Linked DNA regions of Astyanax mexicanus. The protein of the gene in region 1 interacts with the protein of each later gene in a biochemical or structural test. Links are inferred from orthologs where the notes say so. Each region holds a gene or a part of one and is shown in the gene's direction. Other genes may lie near its edges. The genes, in order: gopc and somatostatin receptor type 5.

Region 1 (11,521 bases):
AGGGACAGCACAAAAAAAAAACACACACAGTGTGGGCTCTATTTACTCATTTCATTAACATTTCACAGCAACAACAAGTATTTAATTATCAAATCAAAATAAGTACAGCATAACAATCAATGTAGTCCATTAAATTACGTAATATGCTCAAAATTGCTCAAAAACCTCATGAAGAACAGCACTAATATAAATGTAAAAACCTCCAACAACACCATCCAAAATTCAATGTTTTTCTTTTTGCAAAAAAACTGACATTCAAATTAATTGGAACAACAGCTCCCAGAAGTAACACTGCAGCTTTCAGCTTGAAAAACACTGCATTAAACGATTGCTTTATTACGCAGTTATTGATAGTGATACATCTTATGCATTAACTGCCCTAACTAATTGTTAACTGCTTTCAAAATATGATGTACACCATGTAGATATGGGTGTGGAAAACCTATAATGCTGGTTTACCAAACTAAGAATAAAGCTATTTTTAATTAGACAAAACTAGAACCTAAAAGATAAAAGTATCTGAATATATCAATTATAATAAACAGTTATAATTGACTTAAATGTATAATATGAGAGCAATCTTCAAATATCTGGTTTATTTATTAATTGGGTGCATGGGTCAGTAGGACAATATTACAATGACATCACAATGCCAATAATACAATAATTTTTTTTAAACAAACACAATTTGGAACAGAAAATATTTTCTAAATCTGAGGAAACATATAAAACATATTGTACACTACAAGCTTAATTTCAAAAGGTAGATTTACTAAACCAACAAAACGCAAACATACTTATCATTAAAATTAAAAATGAAAAACTCAAAATTAATCCTACATAACAGTTTATATAATACTGAATAAAATGTAGAGAGAAAAAAATTTGTGCCAGATGTGAATCATTGTGGAGTATGCCTTATTTAAAACACTCCAAATAAGTAATACAGAAAACAAGAGAATGTTGCTAAACAGGTGCAAATGAGATGGATCTGGAGTAAAAAAGAACAGTTACCTTGATCTCCTTAATGTGGTTGTATCCCAGGTTAAGTTTTCTCACATCTCTCGGGATGCCTGAGGGCATGGACTGTACCCTGAAACACTGCACTGATCCGGTTTGTTCACAGACGCATTTCTCTGGACACACTTGGCTGCAGAGCGAGAGGAGAGGGAAGAGCAGGGTGTAAATGAGAATGTGAAGTGTCCGCATTGTGTAGATGACCGGGGCTGCCTTGGTGCTGAAGCAGCATTTTGAAGACCTGTGGCTTAAATAGCTCAGCGACTGGGGCTCTGCTGAGTGTAGGCCTTCTCCGCTTTATTGGGAACAATGGCCTAGATCACTATCTGTGTTGGAAAACACTGACAAGGAACTGGCAAAGCAGTCACAGATTGTCCTGTCTGTCCGCAGATGTGAGAACCTTGGTGATAACCTGTTTACAGCCCATTCTAGACAACAAATGCAGTTTCCTCTGCTTAAATACTTTTAGCAGATACTTTGTCTCTTCGTTCCTCTCTTTGAGTACTCTGTTTTTTTTTGGAGATGGATGTTGCTGGTGTGTCTGTCACAGAGGACACTTTATGGGTTGATTATTTCAACCCATATCAAACCTAATTCAATAATAAATAATGAGAGATATAGGGGCCATTTCACAGACATGCATTAAGTCTAGTCATAGACTACAGTATATTTATCTTTTAATTCCTGTTTTGCCAGGAGGTAATAAAGTTAATAAAGTAATAAAGTTAATAAAGTGATCGGTATGTGCAGATGGTGAGTACAGTTATTAAAAAGATAGAAATGATAGGGTTAGATAAATGCACAGAAGAGCACAGGCTCATTTGATGATTCTCTGTTTATCTGTTAGTTGAGATCCAAAACAGCTCACATAACTATTTTAATAAATTGAATTTGTAAATACTGTCAAACGTTCCAACATCCAGTGCAAAGCCTTCACAGAAATGTAATGGTTGTTTCTGCAAAATTGGGGTCTGGGAACTCTCCTTATCAACACTGTTTATTACAAACATTTAAACATTAAGTGCACACCATTTATATGGGTGAGCAGATCTGACACCTCCCACCAAAAAAAAAAACTCATTTACTCTTATCAGACCACAAGGACAGAACAGTATAAACATCAGGTCAAGGTGAAATGCCCCTTTATTGCCACCAAGGACATGGGGGGTGTGGGGTACTCCTAAAATGTGTTTCTCTGGAATTGGTTTCACTCACCAAATGGGTATTGCTTCACTATACACATATATTTTTGTTTGTATGTTTGTCTGTTTTGTGTTGTAATGCAGTATGCCCTCAATCCAAGCAAAATTTCTCCTTGGGAGATAAATAAAGAAACTATGACTATGACTATTTGTGGCCACAATTTAAAGTATGTTTAAGTTAAGTAAGCTAAAGTAAAAACTAAATGATGCAGTGGTATAAAGCCATTTTTATCTGTTAACCATGGGGTGGATCAATCAAGTTTTGGGCTTGTGATGCAGCCAGTGTAACAGGGAGCATTTGACTGGTAATATAATTTGACTGGGAAAATGGATATAATTAACAATTGAAATTAAAATCTGGAATTAATCACACCTTCTGTAAAAACAAAAGCTGTTGAGAAAAAGAGAATTACTTTTACAACATGATTCTAAACACATCTCAAAATCCACAAAGGCTCTCACAGCACTTAAAATTCAACAAACATCTGTAAACAGGTGTCAGAAAAGCAGTTCATGTAAGACAGCCCCTGAATCTCCCAAAACTAGAAGCTTTTAACAACAAGGAAGAATGAGCAAACACCCATCAATGAAGAACTGAAAATCTCTTACCTGCTACAAATATTGTTTACTGTGATGACTTCTTATATCTGCTATAAGAAGGATACTGTCTGCACAGAAAAATCTTAAAATCATGAAAATCTTTGCAGTACAAAACTGTATTTTGTTTTTTATTATTAATTTTGGTTAACTTTTCAAAGGAAGTCTCATTGTTTGTTATAAATGTATTTGTTTAGTCTTTTTTTGGAATATTCTGTGTATCTTACAAAAATAACATAGGTAAAATATTTTAATAAATGTGCAATTTTTCACTTCACAGCTTTTGTAAAGCAATTAATCGTTCACGTACTGTTCACCTATGAGAAGATCAAAAATCTGCGGTGGATAAACCTACATATAATTGTATATGTACACAAATATTAAATATTAATACTTTTTTGCTTAAATGCTTTAAAGCCTAAGATGATGGTTCTGGTTTTAAGTACATATCTAAAACTAGTCTTTACTTATTATTTAATAAATGCAGTGCCATAATTAAGAATCCTTCAGTAGGTAAATCTAAAGTATTACTAAGGAATACAATCTTCAGGGTCTTCAGAATTGTCCTACTATCTGCTCTTTGAATCCATGTTTTTTGTATTGTGTTTTTTTTTTTGGAATGATCTTCTTTTAGATTTGAAGAGAAGGTTAGATAGTAAAGCTATATACAATTTAATGTAATACAATAAAGCTGTATTGTATGTTTTTAATGACCCTTTATTTTACTTTAAAACCCAACTCATTACCTAAATGGGCTGCTGCATAAGGGGCCCTCATGGAGACCGAGTACAATAAAAAGAGTGCTTTATAATGGGTTACCCTGATGGGGCCCATTATACAGTGCACATAATGGCCCCAGGTGTCCTCAGCTCTATTTGCCCATTAATGGCCCAACCTGTGCCCATATTTTACCCATGTAAAACCCACTTTGGTTCTAAATTAAAGGCCCATAAAAACCCCACATATGCTACCCATTAGGGTTCCACACTGTACCCATCTTAAACCCGTCATTAACCCATATGCTGCTCAAGGGGCCCGCATAGAGACTAAGGACAAAATGTGTTGGGTCCTAAATGGTTAAACTTGTTGGGGCCCATCATTTAGCCCATCATAAACCCACATGGGGCCCATAAAATTAAACATTTTCGAAAAATAAGAAATTTCAAAAATCTATTCATACTTTGAAGCTTTTCAGTTTTAGCTTTTTTTTGTTGGTTTTGTTGTTTGTTTGCTTTTTTATTTTATTATATTTTTATTTTTTATGTTGTTGGCATACCTGTCAAGTCTCCCGTTTTGGCCGGGAAACTACCGTATTTTACTCCTCTTTCCCGCCGTCCTCCCGTATTAGTATTTTTCCGTAAATTTCCCGTATTATATTAAAATTAAAAAATATATATTATTGAGGAGACAGGGCACTGACCGCTCTTTGTCTCTTAACCAATCGTGGAGCCGGTTCAAGGAGAAAGTCCCGCCTTTCAGGAGAAACAGCCAATCAGCTTGCAAAGGAGGGTCAGTGTGGGGAAGCCCCCCGTCGCTGTGAGTTCAGGCAGCTAGTCGGAGCTGCTGATGTTAAAACAGATCTGGATATACAGCGATTTTTCTTAAAAAAATGTAACGGTAGGCTAATCATGTAAACTGTGATGAGATTTTTCTGATAGCTGCTTAAAAAGACTCGTCTCCGAAATAAAACACACAGATTAAACATTTTAAAATTAAAAAAAAAATTACAGCTTGTGACCGAAATGAACTGAACTGATCAGGGGTGGAGTGATCAAAAGGAAGAAGTATTAATTAAAAATGATTAATTGTGTAGGCCACTTAGGACTAATTTTTACTGATGGAATATATCTGGTCCATGTCCTTTTAGTAAAAGCTCATAATACTATTTTTAGGTCACCTACAGTCATTTTGCAGAATTTGTGCCCCCTTTGTTAAATTTTAAATCTATTAAATAAATAAAAAAAATATAATATAAAAGAGTGCATGTATGGCAAAAAGACATGAAATCTTAATCTTAATCTTAATATCTTGAAAATGATTTTTAATTTGGCTGTATTAAAAGAATGATATATGTAGGAATGTCCACAACATTTCAGATTCTGATAATCTAATTGTAGTGTGTAAGTGGTTCACTTGTGGTTATTTTAGATTTTTTGTAAACCTGTCTTTAAAATGTAAGAGATACTGAACCTTCGTTGGGCTGGTGGGACGACTTTAAGCGGACAGAGGAAAATATCCCTTATTTTTCTAAAACTTGACAGGTATGGTTGTTGGATATATGAATCTTGAAATTAGCCTATTGCTGTTTCTGTTTAACTTTGTTGTATTGTATTATGCCGACCTTAGACATAACGATTTTCAAGCAATTTCACTGTTGCAGAAAAATTTCCAGAGTCAGGATTGTGTCTTATTGTGCAGTGTTATTTTTGATACAAACAAGTTTAATAAATACACATTTTGCAAGAATGATGTTGTTTATTGCATTAATCTAAAACAAAGGCAAATGTATATCAGTGAAACTGTGATTGATTGCTTTACAAGGTTGTATGCTTATAAGAAGAGTTGAACACAAAATGTATTCTATTAAAAATATCAAGAAATAAGTGTGGCCGAAAAATAAACTGTTGATGTGAGTCTCTGATAAATCACAGTATTGATTTACACATTATTTTTAACTTAATATGTAACATGTCTTGTATGTAACCTCCACCAGAAGCTTGATGGGAAATATTCTCAGAAAGAATCTAGCTGCAGTCTTACAGTTAGTGATCCTCAGTCTTAGCAAAATATGTTAGTAAAAAGTCTGTGACTTGTCTTTAGACGTGAGGGAGTGTCAGACCTTAGTATAAGAAAAGTATTTTTAGAGTCTTTTTTTAAGTCGTGTAGTGTATGAGCAGCATTTAAAGTACAAAAGCTCAATATTAATAATAAAAAAGCTGGTAAAAATATTGTGTGAGATCAGCGGACTGAGTGAAGTGTTCCTGAAACAGATCGATCGATCATATCGGTGATCTGTTGCTCTCGCTCTCTCTCTCTGGAGGCCTAATCGTGTGGCAGACCAGTGTAATCGATCCCTGCTGAAAACGGACATCCTGCTGTGTTTAGAGGAGGAGGATCAGCGGTATTTACTCCTCCGCTGAAGTTCTTCCTCCTTCTCCTCTGACTGTGATAGACTGAGCTTAAGGGACTCAGAGAGCCGGGCTGTACAGACTGAGGGCTGCGGGGTCGCTGAACCGAGGCTCTGCAGTGCTGCTGGTGGTGTTGTTGTGGGGGTGCTCGGGTATCCGCTCGGTGTTAGACGGTCTACAGGGCGGGGATGTCGGCGGGCGCCGCGCAGGGAGCCGCGCTCGGAGCTCCGGCCTCGGGCATGTCGATGTTCCGCTGGCTGGAGGTTCTGGAGAAGGAGTTCGACAAGGCGTTCGTGGACGTGGATCTGCTGCTGGGCGAGATCGACCCGGACCAGGCCGACATCACCTATGAAGGCCGCCAGAAGATGACCAGCCTCAGCTCCTGCTTCGCGCAGCTCTGCCACAAAGCGCAGACCGTCTTCCAGCTCAACCACAAACTGGAGGTAGCTAGCGTTATTATTAAAACACAACACACCACCGGGCCTACACCACCACTCCACTGTAGCTTTAACACTCACACAGACTGTGAAATATTCATTAAACTGTTCAGAGTCACAGGAAGCTAGCTAGCTATCCTAGCTAACCCACCACACAGCAGCAGTGTGTGAGGAAACTACTGTTCTGTGGAACAGTAGTGGAAGTTTGGGAACTCTCGCCAAATTACTTTACAAATTACACACTTTATTCATTTCTTATTGGGAATTAATAAGCACAGAGTATGTAGGTTATACTGTATTGTCACCAAATTCTAATGTACATCTGTTTCCAGAATTCATCTTGACCTTAGCAGTTCTCCAAAATTTTTCAATGTCATAAAAATGCTGTAAATTATTTCTTCCAATTAAGAATTCTTGTGTATATAAAAATTCCTAACTATTAAAATAGCAACTAATAATGAGTGAATATATTCGTATAAATACTGGATTAAGCTTCTTATTTCTGTCTACAAAACATTTGGTCATCTCTAAACAAATGACACTTTATATATATATATATATCAATGTATTTTATTTTAATAAATAGAAAGCACAGAATGTGTGGCTAATACTGCCAATATTTTCTACAAATGTACAACTGCTTTTTTATGCCGAAATATATTATATGCAAATCAGAATAACCATTTTGGCCTGGGCAAAGGTTTATGCACTTTACCCGGTAAAAGCTTTGTTACAACCCCTTTGACAGAAAATACAGTTCACAAGCTCTGTTTGTTGCAGATAAGTGTTTTTATATCTAATATCAGTTTTGTCTTTATACTGAGGGTGTTTTAACTGTAGCAATTCAGTGTTTTGTTTTTTCCAGATCACATTTTGACTACCACAGTTCACCTGAACTGCCATTTCTTACCATTCCTTACTGTAGGATGCTTGGAAGTCTTCTTGTAGATACTGGGTGGTGCTTTTCTATTTCATGGACCCAATCAATACTGCTCCAAGTTTAGCACTGAGATTGTTTCTTGATCTTCATGCAGGCATTTATAATTCAGCAGCCAATGCCCTGTAGTTCAGTTCACGTTAGGCTTTAGTTACATTTTGTTGTGTGCCAATATATTTTCTTGTTCTTTTTTATAAATAATTATAAAAAGAGTCTAACCTTAATCCTAGTCCTCTAGCAGCTGACAAAAATCAAATGCTGCAGTTCAATTAGAATCTCATCCTAGCCATGTTGGCAATTAACATGGTTTTGTGCTGATTTTGCTGCCTATGATTAATTGATCTGTGAATTATACAATAAATAGTACCATCAGATTCTACACAATGTCAGTTTTATTACCGCTCATTAAAATAGTTTGCTGAAAGTTATTTCTGATATTTAACGTTCTGCAATTGCCCTTTTACATTTTTTAAGTGACATTCAGTGCAGTTCATCATAGGTGTGAAAAGATATCATAATCTTGTATTGAAATAGGTACTGCTATTATCAGTCTAATATATCTCTAAAAATGGCATTTAAAAGGAAAGGTATTACAGTTTAACAATAAACGTGATGCACCTGCCCTTCCTGCTGAGCTGAGCCTGTTTTGCGTAAGGGGGTTTGCATTCCTGACATTTGAAATCCTGATCCATTGTAAAAGAGAGATGCTTACTCATCTTAAATGTGAGTAAAGCTCAGACAGAGCTGGAGAACATCAGAACTCAATAGTGTTGGAGTGTACCAGCCAATGCTCTCTTTAGGTTTATTATTTTAGTACAAAAGAGATACATGTTTAGAGAAATAGACCTGCAGAACCTGCTCAGCCAGGTCTGATCAGTTTATTGTGTCCTCTGTCTATAGTGTGTGTGTGTGTTTGTAAATGATAAGAAGACAAAACTATGCAAAGCACCTTTTGGAGTCAACACTACTATTTTCCTCTTGAGGCTTTTCCATTGGATTGTCATTAGCTGGTAATTACTGTCTTTAGGTTGATTAAAAAAAAAAATGTGTATATTTTGCAATTTATATGAAAAAGTGCAGTCCTGTATTTCTAACATGATATCACCAGATATCCTTTAGCTTTCCTCCATGAAGTTGGTTGGAAATAAATATTTTTGGTAATTTTTGAAATATTGGCCATTGTTAGTAGGGCTTTTATTGTGTACATCTACTCTCAAACAAATTAAGTTTTATTGCATGTTGTGATCATACCAAATGATGTGAATTAAAGAATTCATAAAAAGTCAGCTTATACTTGTCATGCAAAAATACATTAAAACATAAAATAAAATAATTTTAAAAACGATTAATTAAAATAATTAAATGAAAACCAATGTAAAAATTAAATAAAATGGAAATTAATTTAGATTTATTGTGATTTATAAAGGCCAGTCTTTAATCAGGTGACACTATTGGTTCACTGGTATGGTTTTGGTGTCACATAAATTGTTATTGTGGACACATTGAAGTTCTGGATTTATAAGATCTATTTAAGTTGCTACACTGTGAACTCATGCTTTATTTAATGGTTTTAGAGTGTTATTAATTTGAACATCTCCACTGATTGTGGTCAAGTAAAGTTTTAGTCCTGTCCTTATGTACTTTTTGTTGTATCTAGAACATCACGGTTTTGTTCCACCAAAAACAGGGTTTACCAGTCTTGTCCACAAAGGGCATGTATGGCTGCAGGTTTTCACTCAGACCAGAGTGAATAATTGACAGCTTGGACCAACTAATAAAACAAGAATAACAGGATCCACTTCTGCTTGTTAGAAATGAAAATCTCTGCTAAACCTGCCCTTGCTTTGTGGATAAGATTGGTGACCCCCATCCACATTGTGAACAAAATCTGGAGAAACCAGACCTAATGCTATTTAGGATGATGATTCTAAAAAAACAGTTGTTGTTAAAGTAGAATGTCCCTTAAGTCAAAGTAAGGGATTTTTTTCCCATGTTGTTCAGCTTTAGTGTGGAGTGTTGGTTGCTGTAGGTCAGCTCTACCAGTGTTCAGCTGTCTTGTGTCCATTAGATCTGACCTGTTGGCCTCATGTGTTCCTCCTGCTTCAGCATTCTCAGGAGAACGCTTGGACTAATCTCTCGTGTGTCTACCACTTTATAAATCTCTTAAAAGCTTCTTTATCTTAATGCATGCTGTTTTGCAGGACTGTCATGAATGTATGATTAAAACACTAATACTACCTTATCTGTGAGTCTACAATGATGATCTAGCATGTTTGCTTGATGAGTATCAATGCTGTCAAATGATAAAAAAAAATATTTAATTAATTACATGCTCAGTGATTAATCTACATTTATCACCTAAAAATACTTTTTTTGAATGAATGAATGAATGAATAAATGGAAAGTTACAATAATAAGAGACATAGGTTTTTTTCTTCTCAATCTTTTTATTTCAGGTGTATACATCTTAAAGCTAAAATTATAACCTAAATAGAACAATATATTACCAGTTCCTTTTACTACAAAACCATTCTCTAGCAACATATTGTAATTTGCAGCACAATTCTATTGACCATAAACCATAAAAATATCATCAAATTCACTTCAAGTCAAACAAGCAACAGTTTCTCAATTTTGTGTTATGCACCAGAAGTGGACTATTTGCCTTACTCTCTCAAACAGTTACTGAAACAAACAAGCCTGTTTACTTTCTCAAGGCAGGGTCTGTGGTGTATAGTCTACACAAATGCCATGTGGCACTGTACAGGGTTGCATGTTGGTGTTTCTGTGTTGCGTTACAGTTTACCTGTGAACGCAATCACAGTATTCACATTTCTGGAGTGGTGCTACGCTGTAAAGTACATAGATTCAATTCAATGTTATTTATATTGCGTGTTTTACAAGCTGTTCAAGCTTCTTATGAGTAAGCACCACAGTGATGACGCCAACAGTGGCATGGAAGAGGTGGCAACAGTGATTTAAAAAAAAAAAAAAAGCAGGTGACAAAGTGCAGATCAAGGGAGCAGAGCTGCTATGTTAACCTCCATCACATGATAGTGACCTAAAGTGTATCGCTGGTTCAAATGGTAATTAATTGAAAAAAACTAACAGTTTTTTTTGCAGCCCTACTTGTAATTATTTTCATTATTTTTTTTTGCATTTTACACACAGATCCAGGTGGGTTGTATCCTACACCACATGTATTTGTGTAAATTAGATATGTTTATCTGTGTGTATTGCTGGAATTTCTAGGCTGTCACAATAACTACATTATCATTTTAGCGTACAATACACAAACACAACCTCAATTATTTTTTCTGACCTCAATATTACCCATTTTGTTTTTTTTAGTGAACAAAACCCGTTAAGGTGTTTGACCTGTTAAGGACTTTATTTTTTTTTTTAAATATTGGTGTAGTTGTATTTAATTTTGGTATTAATTGAGTAGTTCAGACGTTATTCTTCTTGTTAAAAATGATTGCTTACTGCAAATATTCCTGGGACATTAGATCAGCCAACATGATGTGGGCAAAGATCACTCGCAGAAGCTCCTTTTACTGGAAAACAGGAAATGATGAACTGTGTGACAGCTGTGCTTGCAATTTATGAAGGGTTTGGTTTCACAATGTGACACAAAAGCACTATCAATTTTCAGTATTTTGGAATTTTTGCTTGTTTGAAAAAAATTACCAAAATAAATTCCCTATTTCCTAATGCAGTCAATAATGACAGCCGTACTGCTAATACTCTCATGTCTTGTTCCACAGAAGATATGAGGGATAGATGAAATAGGGAAGCATGGAAGCAGAGATGGTGTGTTGTGGTGTTGTGGCATGACTCAAGTTCCTCTCAGTGCAGTTGGGAGACATTGTATTACGTCAGATCACTGCAACAGAAAGGCTGGGCTATGCTGGTAATGGGCAGTACTCCAGTATTCCAGACTTACAGTTGCGTAATCATACACAGTGTTGTTACTTCATTCTCTGCCTGGTTTTTCCATGTTGGGAGTTTCCTCATAGTGCAGAGCCAACCAGGCAAGCACCCAGGCTAATAACTAACTAGGAAATGAAGAAAGAAACAGGAAGTGCCAACAGCTAAGTAGCTAGTCTATTTAGGCTACTTCCTTACTAAACACCAGATTAGCCTGTGCATTATTATAACAGTAGGCTTCGTGTCGGACACTTGCTTATTTCATGCTGCAGA
Region 2 (11,795 bases), on another chromosome or scaffold:
ACTTTTTAAAATACTTATTATACTTTAATTACAGTATAAAAATAGTACAACATTCTTACTTAAATTACTTAAAAAGTCTACTTAACTGTACTGAAATTGAACTATTTTAAATTTACTTAAGTAACATTTAAACATACATATATATTTATAATATATAATTATAATATAATTATATATTTTATAATATATTTAATAATGAGTAGCACAACTGTATCACTATTTATTATACACCAGATATATTAGAAATGCACTAAGAATTGATATATGTTAAATATATGTGATCTATATTTACATTTGAGTACAAATATACAACTATGCTTCTTGTTCCTGTCTTTTGTAAGAAGCACACTTCTAGTCTAGTTTACTTTATTGGGTATAAAAATATATTTTAATATAATGTACTACAAGTTTTAGTGTGTTACAATTTTACATTTTTTTAATTAGTAGTAGTAATTTAATTTACTTTCTAAAAAGTTACATGATACATTGTACTTTAAGTGAACTACTGTAACTGTAGTTGTTTTTAACACACTTTGCTAAAAGTGTACAAAAGTATATTTGTAAATATATATTTTAGAATTACATTGAATTACATTAAACTAAAAGTGCACTTCATAGTAGTCTATTTATTGAAAAGTAGACTATATTGTACTTTTTTAAAAATATGATCAAATTTTACTTTCAAAGCATAATATTAATGTACTTTTAATATATTTTAAGTAAGTACATAAATCTGTTAGTATATTTACATCATACATTTCTCAATATGTTTTAAGTACAATTAAGTATATATTTTGTTCACTAGGGTGCAGAGGCAAAGGCAACATAACTATTTTGCATTCTTTCATTCTACACTTTAGAATAGATGCTAAATAAATTTTTTAGATGCTAATTTAGTTTTTTTTTTTAAGATGATTAAATAAACTCTTTTTGCTGTTTTATGAAAGACCAATGAAATTACACTTATAAAGTGCCTTTCTTACAATCACATTTTACACACACAACCATTTACACTCAGCACAGAGCAGAGACAGCATACTCTCAACCGGAAACCACCGTCCACCTGGAGCACTGCATTAACTACACTGTAACAGAAGTTAGTTAATTTACCAATTTACCTGATCTCCATGTTTTTGGACTGTTTGATAAATTCGAGATATGCTGATACAGAGAGAACATGGAAACTCAGGACAGGGATTTGAACCCAAGACTGGTAGGCAAATGTGCTAACCACTAATCACTAATCCACCATACCGCCCAATGATGATGCTAATCCAACACTAGCGGGCAAATTTAGTTCAACAACCCAGCGTTTTGATGCTAACCCAACACTTTAGCTACAGCTAATTCAGTTAAAGCGTTTTTTACACTCTAATTTAACAGCATAATTAAATTAATTGACAGATTTAAATATTGTTCACTTATTGGCAATAAAAGTCCAATTCTGTAGATGCTAACCCAACACTTAACGCTTTTTAGCTGATTTAGCAAAATATATGGTGTATTTTTATTATAGTTTTCTCAACTAATTAAAAAAATAGATGCTAGTTTCGTAGTTGTAGCCATAACATTTAAAACGAGGCATTAACTAATAATGACGTAGACATATATATACATAGACTCCACATAGCCTGCCTCTTCCCAGCTGGCCACCAACATTAAAAGACATTAATTTCAGGTTGAGTTGTGGTCATGACTTGACAATGACAAATATTTTACAACAGGATAATGTCTAATAGTGTTACATGTCTGCAGGGTTGGCGCTGGCTGCTACGCTAGAAGGCAGGCTATGCAGAGTCTATCTATATATATGTCTATGTCTTCATCAGTAAAGCTTTAGCGTTTTGGGATGTAAACAGAGGTTTTTAATAACGTTCTTGTGCACTTTTTTTAAGTTATTAATGCCTCGATTTAAATGTAAGGCTAAATTTTTGGATCTCAGAAAGCTGCAGGAGAGCGGAGGTGAGCTATTCATCAAAGGAAAGTACTTTTTAATCATGTTTTACTAAACTAAAAGTCCATTTTACACCAAAAGTAGTTAAAGATCAGACAAATTGCATTTTACATACAAATATTATTAAAAATAAAAAAAGTTTGGATGCAACTCTAATCCTTAAAGCTAATCCAACAGCATGTTTCCTGTAACGAGCTTCATAAACCAGTGTTTTTTTGTTTCGTTTTTTGCTAATGCTTTATTTATTTATTTATTTATTTAATGAATGAATTAATGAGATTAGAAGCTGTGAGTGAGCGGTATTGATTGGTGCTGGTAATTTATGGGCTCCCGGGTTTATGATTGCAGGCAGTGTGTGATCATTAAGCCCTGTGTGAGGACCTTCATTCAACCTTGCTGGTCGTGCTGGTCGGGTTCATTCAGGTGTATTTATAATTAACCTCTGTAAGGTGCTCATTAACGTGGGTTTTGTGCAGTGTGTGTGTGTGTGTGTGTGTGTTTTGTGTTTTTTTTTTCTCCTGCTGCTGGTGTGTGTGTGAGTGTTTGTTTTGTGTTTTTTTTTTCTCCTGCTGCTGGTGTGTGTGTGAGTGTGTGTTTTGTGTTTTTTTTTCTCCTGCTGCTGCTGGTGTGTGTGTGTGTGTGTGTAGGGGGTGTATCTCAGTGCTGAGCTGCAGTAAGTTTGAGCAGCAGCAGCAGAAGGAGCAGTAGTGAGCAGCAGTAGTGAGCAGCAGCAGTAGTGACTGGGAGAATGCAGCTCTACAGGTCTGATCTCTGAACAGCCCGGAGCAGATCAGATCAGATCAGATCAGATCACACTGTCTGGATTACAGATCTCCGCCGCTCCGCTCGCGCTCAGAGATGCGCTCTGCCCGGGTCTCGCGCTCCGAGCTGCTGCCGCGCGCGCTCATAATGGGGAGACTCTCGTTCCTACAGTCTGCTATTGGTGTTTTTGGTGTTATTCTTTTAATCTGAGGAGATATTTTTAATTTTATTATTATTATAAATCCTGAGAACATCTGAGGATCACAAACCAGGCAAGTAGCAGCTCATCTCATACACACACACTTTACACACACTTCACACACACTTTACATACTAGTGCACTGTCACTAGTGCAGATATAAGAGCTTTAAATCTCTTTAAAACTTATTATATTCAATAATAATAACACACACACACACACACACACACACACACACACACACAGAGGCTGCATTATTATAATATAATAAGCTCTTACTGCTGTGTGTTGTTGCTCAGTGTAGCGTTTAGAAGTTTAATTTTCAGCAGAGTGAAGAAGAAATGGATTTTTATCCAAATTATTAATTATCTATTATTCATGTCAGCCAATGAAAATGTAAAAGGTCAGTGTAACTTTTTTCTATTTGATTTTCTGACCGTTTGGGGCTAAATGCAAAATTAGAAAATTGGATGTAAAAACGCATAATTTCATTTATTTTAATGTAGTTTAGTGTACAAGAAATGTTTTTATCCATTTTTCCAATTTTAGTTTTTTCCTCTCTGCCCCTTACAATCGGAATGTCAGGAAAAATGATTAATTAATCAATGAATGAATTAATCATTTTTTGCATTTTGCAAGCTTTGCCAGATTTCAGATTTGTTTATTTTTCTGTCTTTTAACACAAATCTAAAAAATCAAGAGAAGATTCAACTTTATTTTCTCTTGAAATTCTGTTTGCCAATAGCGGAAAAAAATAGATAATAAAAAAATTGGGGGGTCAGAGTAACATTTATTAATTTATTTTTCTAATTGTTTGAGGCTAAATGCAAAAATGGAAAAAAGGATGTAAAAACAGATTTTTTAAATGTAGTTTAGTTTACAAGAAAAAGTTTTTATCCATTTTTCAATTTTTATTTTTTTTCATCTCTGCCCCTCACAATCAGAAAAAAAATATTTATTTTTTTTCCAGATTTTTGAATTTTTGCATTTGTAAGTTGGATTACACCATCAGATGTGTGTTACAAGATACAAACATGGAAAAATCTGAAAATTGAGGCAAGAATCCATTTTTATATCTCGTGACACAAATCTGATGGTATGCAAAAATGGAAAATGGGAAGAAATCTTGAAATTCTGATTGCGAGGGGCAGAGATGAAAAAACTAAAATTGGAAAAAAGGATGAAAACTTATTTCTTGTACACTTTATGCTGCTTTACTCCTGGTGCAAAAATTCAAGCAGTTCAGTTTGGTTTGATGGCTTTGGATCATCCATCTTCCTCTTGATTATATTCCAGAGGTTTTTAATTTGGTAAAATCAAAGAAACCCATCATTTTTAGATGGTCTCTTATTTTTTGACCAGAGCTGTGTTTGTATGTGGCTTGGACATACCCTACATGTTTTGCAATACTTTTTGGATGGTCATCCATCATCCTGACCCCCCCACTAGTGCTGAGTGCAAGGATTAAACGAGTTACAGAGTGGTCTGGAGTTGCATTGATATATATATATATATATATATATATATATATATATATATGTACGACAAACAGCATAGGCATATTAGCTGGTCTTAAGTGTTTTGGCTTTGGGCTTTTGTTGGTGTATATATGTTTTTATGTACACACACTATATTGGTGCTATATAATGGACTGTTTGTGGACACTCATTCTAATGAATTCTAGCATCTGTAGTGACTCTTTTGAGCAGATAAACAAATATATATATATATATATATATTGGAACCATGTCTAATGTCAGGTGAGGGCTATGGACGAACATAAAGCCCCCCAGTATTGAGCTGTGGATCAGTGGAGGAACTGTGTTCTCTGTAATGATGATGGAGCTCCATACAATACTTTAGAATGGGATGAGTTTGGTTGAGGTGGGATCATCAGCATCCTGTAACATCCTGACCTAATCGACGATGATGCTCGTTAATAAATGCAATCAAGTCAAATGAAGTCAAGAGGCTTTTATTGTCATTATATCTGAGAACAGGAACACCGTGTATCGAAATTACGTTCCTCTGTAACCATGATGCAACATGGTTAAACAACAAGAAGATAGACAAACATAAAGTGCAAAAGTTTAAAACCATAAAATATAACACTGCAGTAAATACAATAAATTCAGAATACAAATCCTCACTGCAATGCTGCTTTAAAGTCTAGTAGAAAGTAGTCTTCTCTGGACAGTAGAGGCAGTTACTCCGACAAAAAAAGCAGGATAAACTTATTTTAATACCCTTGATATAAGCAGATGATCCAATACTTTTGTCAATGTTATTTAATGTTATTTAAAGGAACTACTTTAATTCAATTAAACCTTAAAAAGGGAGAACTCTGGTGTAAAATGGACTTTTGCTGTAGTAAAACATAGTAAAAAGTTCTTTCCTTTGATGAATAGCACACCTGAAATACAGTAATTTTGTGCTTATCCAGCTCAAAGTAGCTCCACACCTCCTTACTAGAATCTGGAGAGCCCTGACATTTAAAACGAGGCATTAACAACTAAAAAATTGCACAAGAAGCTTATTAAAACTCACTGTTTACATCCTATAACGCTACTAGCTTCAGCTCCGAGCGCCGCCATCACTGTACTGATAATGTCATAGACATATATATACATATATACATAGACTCTGCATAGCCTGCCTCCTGTCATAGCAGCTGGTGACCAGTGCTTTTTTTTTTTTTACAGTGAGGAAGGTGTTTAATACATAATATATTATAATAATCACAACTCTACAAATCTCAACTTATACCCGATTTTCATAATATAACATATAACAAAATACTACATCTTTGCTATGCGTAGTCTATGTGTATATATGTATATATATGTCTATGTCATTATCAGTACAGTGATGGCGGCGCTCGGAGCTGAAAGCTAGAGCGTTATGGGATGTAAACTGTGTTTTTTAATAAGCTTCTTGTGCACTTTTTAGTTATTAATGCCTCGTTTTAAAAGTCAGGTCTCTCTGGATTCTAGTAAGGAGGTGTGGAGCTACTTTGAGCTGGATAACGGTGGAAAAAGTGATTTATCAGGGTAAATTATGCTCCATATCACCCAGTCTGAAGGGTGTTTGTTGGACAAACTGTTAAAATTTCTGGATCTCTGAACACTGTGGGAGAACGGAGGTGTGCTATTCATCAAAGATAAGAACTTTTTATCATGATTTACTAAACTAAAAGTAAATTTAACACAGGAGTTCTCCTTTAAAGTTGTTTTTTATGACCAACGACCACACCTTAGTTATAGTTTTATATGCATCCCACTTTCTGGACACCACATGGGGTCTCTGAGATGAGTGCGCTAAAGACACACACACACACACACACACACACACACACACACACACACACACACACTCAGATCATCAGATATAGAGCATAGAGCGGCCAGAACAGAGCCACCTCCGCTGAATCACAACCCTGACTAACACTGCATTGAAATCAGGTACAATCTGTGCAGTGGGAGTTTTCTCATTCTCAACTCACAATCTCTCTCCTTCTCTCCCTCTCTCTGATTCCTTCTGTCGTACTCTCTCTCTCTCTCTCTCTTTCTATCTCTATCTTTCTCTCTTTTCACAGCATCCCAGCATCCAAACTCTGACAACAGCCCCGTGGGCGTCCGAGACCCACTGACGTGTCGCTTCTCTGCGCGATTTCGTCGCTCCCTCGTTCTTTCTTTTTTTTTCTTCTCCTCTCCATCTGCCTCTTCTGCCTCTCCTTTCTTCCCCTCCCTGGATCAGGAATGGAGCCAGGGGCTGTATCGGAATGGGAGGGGCCCCTCCTGGGGTCCTTGAACTCGTCAGGGATTCTGGAGGCGACGGCGTTTTCGAGGGCGCCGGCTCTCCTGGGAAACTCTTCCTATAACTCTTCGGACTACAGCATGCCGTTCCAGGGCAGCAGCACCATGCTGACGGCCATCATCTCGCTGACCGTTTTTATCGTGGGACTCGTCGGAAACACGCTGGCCATCTACGTGGTCCTGCGCTACGCCAAGATGAAGACGGTCACCAACATCTACATCCTGAACCTGGCCGTGGCCGACGAACTCTACATCCTGGGCCTTCCGTTCCTCACCACGCAGAACGTGCTCTCCTATTGGCCGTTCGGCTCCTTCCTGTGCCGCGTCCTCATGACGGCGGACTCTCTGAACCAGTTCACCAGCATCTTCTGCCTCACGGTCATGAGCATCGACCGCTACCTGGCCGTGGTGCACCCCATACGCTCCACCAGGTGGCGACGGCCGCGGGTGGCCAAAGTGGTGAGTGCCGCGGTGTGGGCCATCTCGTTCGTGGTCATTCTTCCCGTTGTCATCTTCTCCGACGTGCAGGACACGTTCTTCTCCTGCAACCTGAGCTGGCCGGAGCCGCGGGACGTCTGGTCCATGGCCTTCATCCTCTACACCGCCATCCTCGGCTTCTTCGCCCCCCTGCTGGTGATCTGCATGTGCTATCTGCTCATCATCGTCAAGGTGAGTCTCCAACCTCTTAACATCATGCCTGTTGAAAAAAATTTAAGTAAAATTGACTTTTTTTAAGTAAATTTAATTTCAGATACTTTAAAAAAGGATTGATTTAGGAAAAATAAAGTTTACTAAAAGAAAGGATTGACTGAAGTTCAGTTCACTTATTTACTTTATGTAACATTTTTAAAACCGAGTTGAAATTAAATCCAGTACTCCATCCAGTACTTCTAGGGATTAGAAAATCTAGTAGAAAGCCTTCTCTGGACAAAAGAGAAAGTTACTCCAGCAAAGAGTATGTTTTTTCCACTGATTTTGGAAAAGCCTCGCAGCCGCAGCAGAAATCACCTCACCACACCAGGGCTAACTAACTCTGCCCGAGTTGAGACTTTTCTACATATTTGTTTTTTTGTTTTGTTTTTTCACATAAAAAAATTCGAACAGAGCTTTTTTGGAGGTTCTTCATTGTGAAAAAGATGTTTTAAAGAATATGAAAGCTTTTTCATTGAGCGAAAGTAGTTATTATTTCAATGCAAAGAATGAGAAGTCCATTGAGGAACCTCCAGGATGAGTGCCTGTAAGCACTTTAGCGATACCTCAGTACAACATCAGGTTCTTTAAAGATCTCGAAATATGGCTCGTACAAGAAATGTAGGCTATTATATTTGGATTCAGGTACAGAAATCGTTATTCGCTCCTTCATAGATTCAGACTGAAAAAACTGTGTAAAAAGCTTTGAGTTCTTGGAGGAGCCTGTAGGTTATTGTGGTAACCTAGAGGTTCTACAAACTTTTAGCTTTTTTAAGTACAAGTTAAACAAATTGATGAATCGATTGATTCATTCATTTTTTGATTGATTGAAGGTGAAGTCAGCAGGTGCTCGTGCCGGATTCACTAAGCGGCGGCGGTCGGAGAGGAAGGTGACGCGTATGGTGGTGGTGATCGTGGTGGTGTTCGTTCTCTGCTGGCTGCCGTTCTACATCATCAACATCGTCAACGTCATCGTCATCCTGCCGGAGAACAGCCTGATGGTGGGCATCTACTTCACCGTCGTCATCCTGTCCTACGCCAACAGCTGCGCCAACCCCGTCCTCTACGGCTTCCTGTGCGACAACTTCAAGCAGAGCTTCAGGAAGGTCCTGTGTTTCCGCAAGACCAACGGCGTGGAGGACGGAGACCCCAGCGTCCCGCGGACCGAGAAAATCACCACCCACGACTCCTTCCTGCCCCCGAGAAACCACGAGTTTAACGGACACGTGCAGAGCAGCCAGGTAACACAGCATCCACAGACCGCAGGATGATTTATAATGTGTGTATGGGTGCATATATACATATATATATGTGTGTGTGTGTGTATATATATGTGTGTGTGTGTATAGTGTACAGTTATACGTGTGTAATGTTATACATGAACATGCAGCACACATCAGGGCCAGAATGAAATTAACTGATTTTATTCTATTGCATAAATTAGCATCCGATTTAATATCATTTTTATTGTTGCAAAACTTTTACACAAAAATTCTATTTGCCCATAAACATTAATGGACATAACAATTGTGTACTATTCTTATGTGCCAATATAATGAAAAGAGTACAACTTGGCAACCTGAACAACCACCTGAGATACCACAGCAACTGCCAATTAATCCATAGAATCCCCCGTCAACACCATTCTAGCAGCAGCATCATAATCACCTGGTATACTATTGCAGCCATGGAGCAACACCACAGCAACCACTTGTTGAACTCTACTAAACTGTACCCATCTAGCAACACCGCAGCAACCACCTGACAAAGCAAAGTAAGCATTTAGTGTAGTAACCACTTAGCAACACCACAGCAACCACCTTGGATATCAAAGTAAGCATTTAGTGTAGTAACCACCTAGCAACCACCTGGCATACCAAAGTAAGCATTTAGTGTAGTAACCACTGAGCAACACCACAGCAACCACCTCACATGCCAAAGTAAGCATTTAGTGTAGGAACCACCTAGCAAAACCACAGCAAACACTTGGCATATGAAAGTAAGCATTTAGTGTAGTAACCCACCTGGCAACACCTCAGCATCCACCTGTTGTACTTTACTATACTGTACTATGTAGACCATTGAAACCTTCTGGTACACCACAGAGACCATCTAGCAAACACTAAGCAACACCTGCCTGATGTACTGTACTATACTGTACCTACGTAGCAGCACCACAGCAACCACCTGATGTACTGAACTGATGTACTGTACTGTACTATACCTATCTAGCAGCCACCTAGCAACACCACAGCAACCAACTGATCTACTGAACTGATGTACTGTATTATACCTATCTAGCAGCCACCTATCAACACCACAGCAACCACCTGATGGACTGTACTACACTGTACCTAGGTAGTAGCACCACAGCAACCACCTGATGTACTGAACTGATGTTCTGTACTGTACTATACCTATGTAGCAGCCACCAAACAACACCACAACAACCACCTGATGTACTGAACTATACTACACCCATCTAGCAATTGAGCAACACCATTGTGAGCACAAGGTATATCATATTAACTACCTAACAGCACCATAACATCCACTTAGCAACATCATAACAACCACTTAGCAACATCATAGCAACCACATAGCAGTCATTTTAGCATTTTAGTACTTTTGGGATTAGTCATGGAGTCATCCATCAGTATTGACCTCATTCACACTCGTGTGGCCGAATGCAATCATATCCTCACAGCAACGCAAATCTAGAAATCCAGTAGAAACAACCTATACTATGCTAACCGGAGTAAACAATACTAGAGACAATACTTGTTTGTTATATAGTGTAGATAGATTGCTGCAGGTCATCTGCTATATAATATTTATGTTCCATCTGGACTCGTTTAAAACCATGTTGTAAAACCAGATGTCCCAGCAGTGACCAAACGCCTGAGGGGTTTTCTATGTGCATGATGTTTGTTGGTGTGTGTTGAAGTGTGTGTGTTGTTATGTGTGTGTGTGTGTTGTTGTGTGTGTTAGGGGTGTGTGTACATGTCCTCATAATCCGCTACATGCCCTTATTTAGAGTGGAGTGTTTTATCTGATGCAGCTCTACATGGTAAAGGTCATGCTAACGCAGACAGTTTGGTTTGACGCGTCGAGCAGTCGGGCATAAATTTCCTGGCAGTTTGAGTGGCTCCATGCTGGCTCTATGGAGGGGGGGGGGGCGGTGGATAGAGTGGGGGAGGGTCAGTTAAACACACACCAGTTATAACCTTAGCATTCATTACAAAGTCCAGGAAAACAGCACTCACTCTATATGAGTTTTAATGCAAATATATATTTTAACTAATGTGTTTAAAGAGTTAATTATCAATATTTTTATATGCAACTCAAAATCAGAAAAAGCTGGGCAAGTTTGAAAAATCATAGTGTTTCTTACATTGACTTTAAAGTGTCAGTCCGTATAATTGTGTTTCTAAACTGAAAACAGAAGAATTTCTGAGTGCATAAAGGTTAAAATATTGTGTTCGATGGTACCAACTAGGCAACCTAAGCAACCACCTGAGATACCACAGCAACTGTCAATTAATCCATAGAATCACCTGGCAATGCCAAAGCAACCACCTGGCATACCAAAGTAAGCATTTAATGTAGCAACCACCTAGCAACGCCACAACAACTACCTGGCATATCAAAGTAAGGATTTAGTGTAGCAACCACCTAGCAACACCATTGTAGTATAGTAACCACCAAGCAATGCCAAAGCAACCACCTGGTATACCAAAGTAAGAATTTAGTATAGTAACCACCTAGCAACGCCGCAACAACCCCGGATACCAAAGTTAAACCCAGTTAAACACATACCAGTTATAATCTTAGCATTCATGACAAAGTCCAGGAAAACAGGAAGTAACAGTCACTCTATATGCGTCTTAATGCAAATATCACATTTTAATCACCCTGTTTAAAGAGTCAATTGTCTACATTTTTATATGCAACTCTAAATCAGAAAAAGTTGGAAAAGTTTGGAAAATCGCATTGATTACATTGACTTTAAAGTGGCAGTCTGTATTATTTAGTTTCTAAACTGAAAGCAGAAGCATTTCTGAGTGGAGAAGAATATAGATAAAATATTTTGTTTAATGGAACCAGTGTGCTGAAACCACCATCCTGCTAAACCTAATATCTAATATATTCATTCTAAAAACTGGGGTCGCGTCTTTACGTAGTAGCTCATTGAATCATAGTAAAACCAAAGACCAAAGAAACGAAGGAGTGAAGATTCTGAATTTTATTTGTTAAAGCTCACCTTCCGCGAAAATCCGATTTTTCTTGTTTTTTGTGGAATACAGTAGGTCTCTCTGAGTTGAATGTGTACACCTGCACATTAAACTGTTTTGCAGCCCCCATTGTCTGCAGG

Evidence for each region.
Region 2: the proteins of gopc (region 1) and somatostatin receptor type 5 form a complex in vitro, tested with the Homo sapiens proteins (2 studies listed by BioGRID and IntAct, with this or other methods). The link is inferred for Astyanax mexicanus from reciprocal best matches to the Homo sapiens genes GOPC and SSTR5.

Annotation. Positions count from the first base shown.
Region 1 is NC_064408.1:80,410,567-80,422,087, reverse strand, and holds the start of gopc (Golgi-associated PDZ and coiled-coil motif-containing protein), read left to right. Parts: upstream 1-5,887; 5' UTR 5,888-6,132; coding exon 6,133-6,387; intron 6,388-11,521. Other genes in the region: nephrocan-like, read right to left, coding at 1,015-1,209.
Region 2 is NC_064428.1:35,181,744-35,193,538, forward strand, and holds the start of somatostatin receptor type 5, read left to right. Parts: upstream 1-6,513; 5' UTR 6,514-6,673; coding exon 6,674-7,399; intron 7,400-8,253; coding exon 8,254-8,661; intron 8,662-11,795.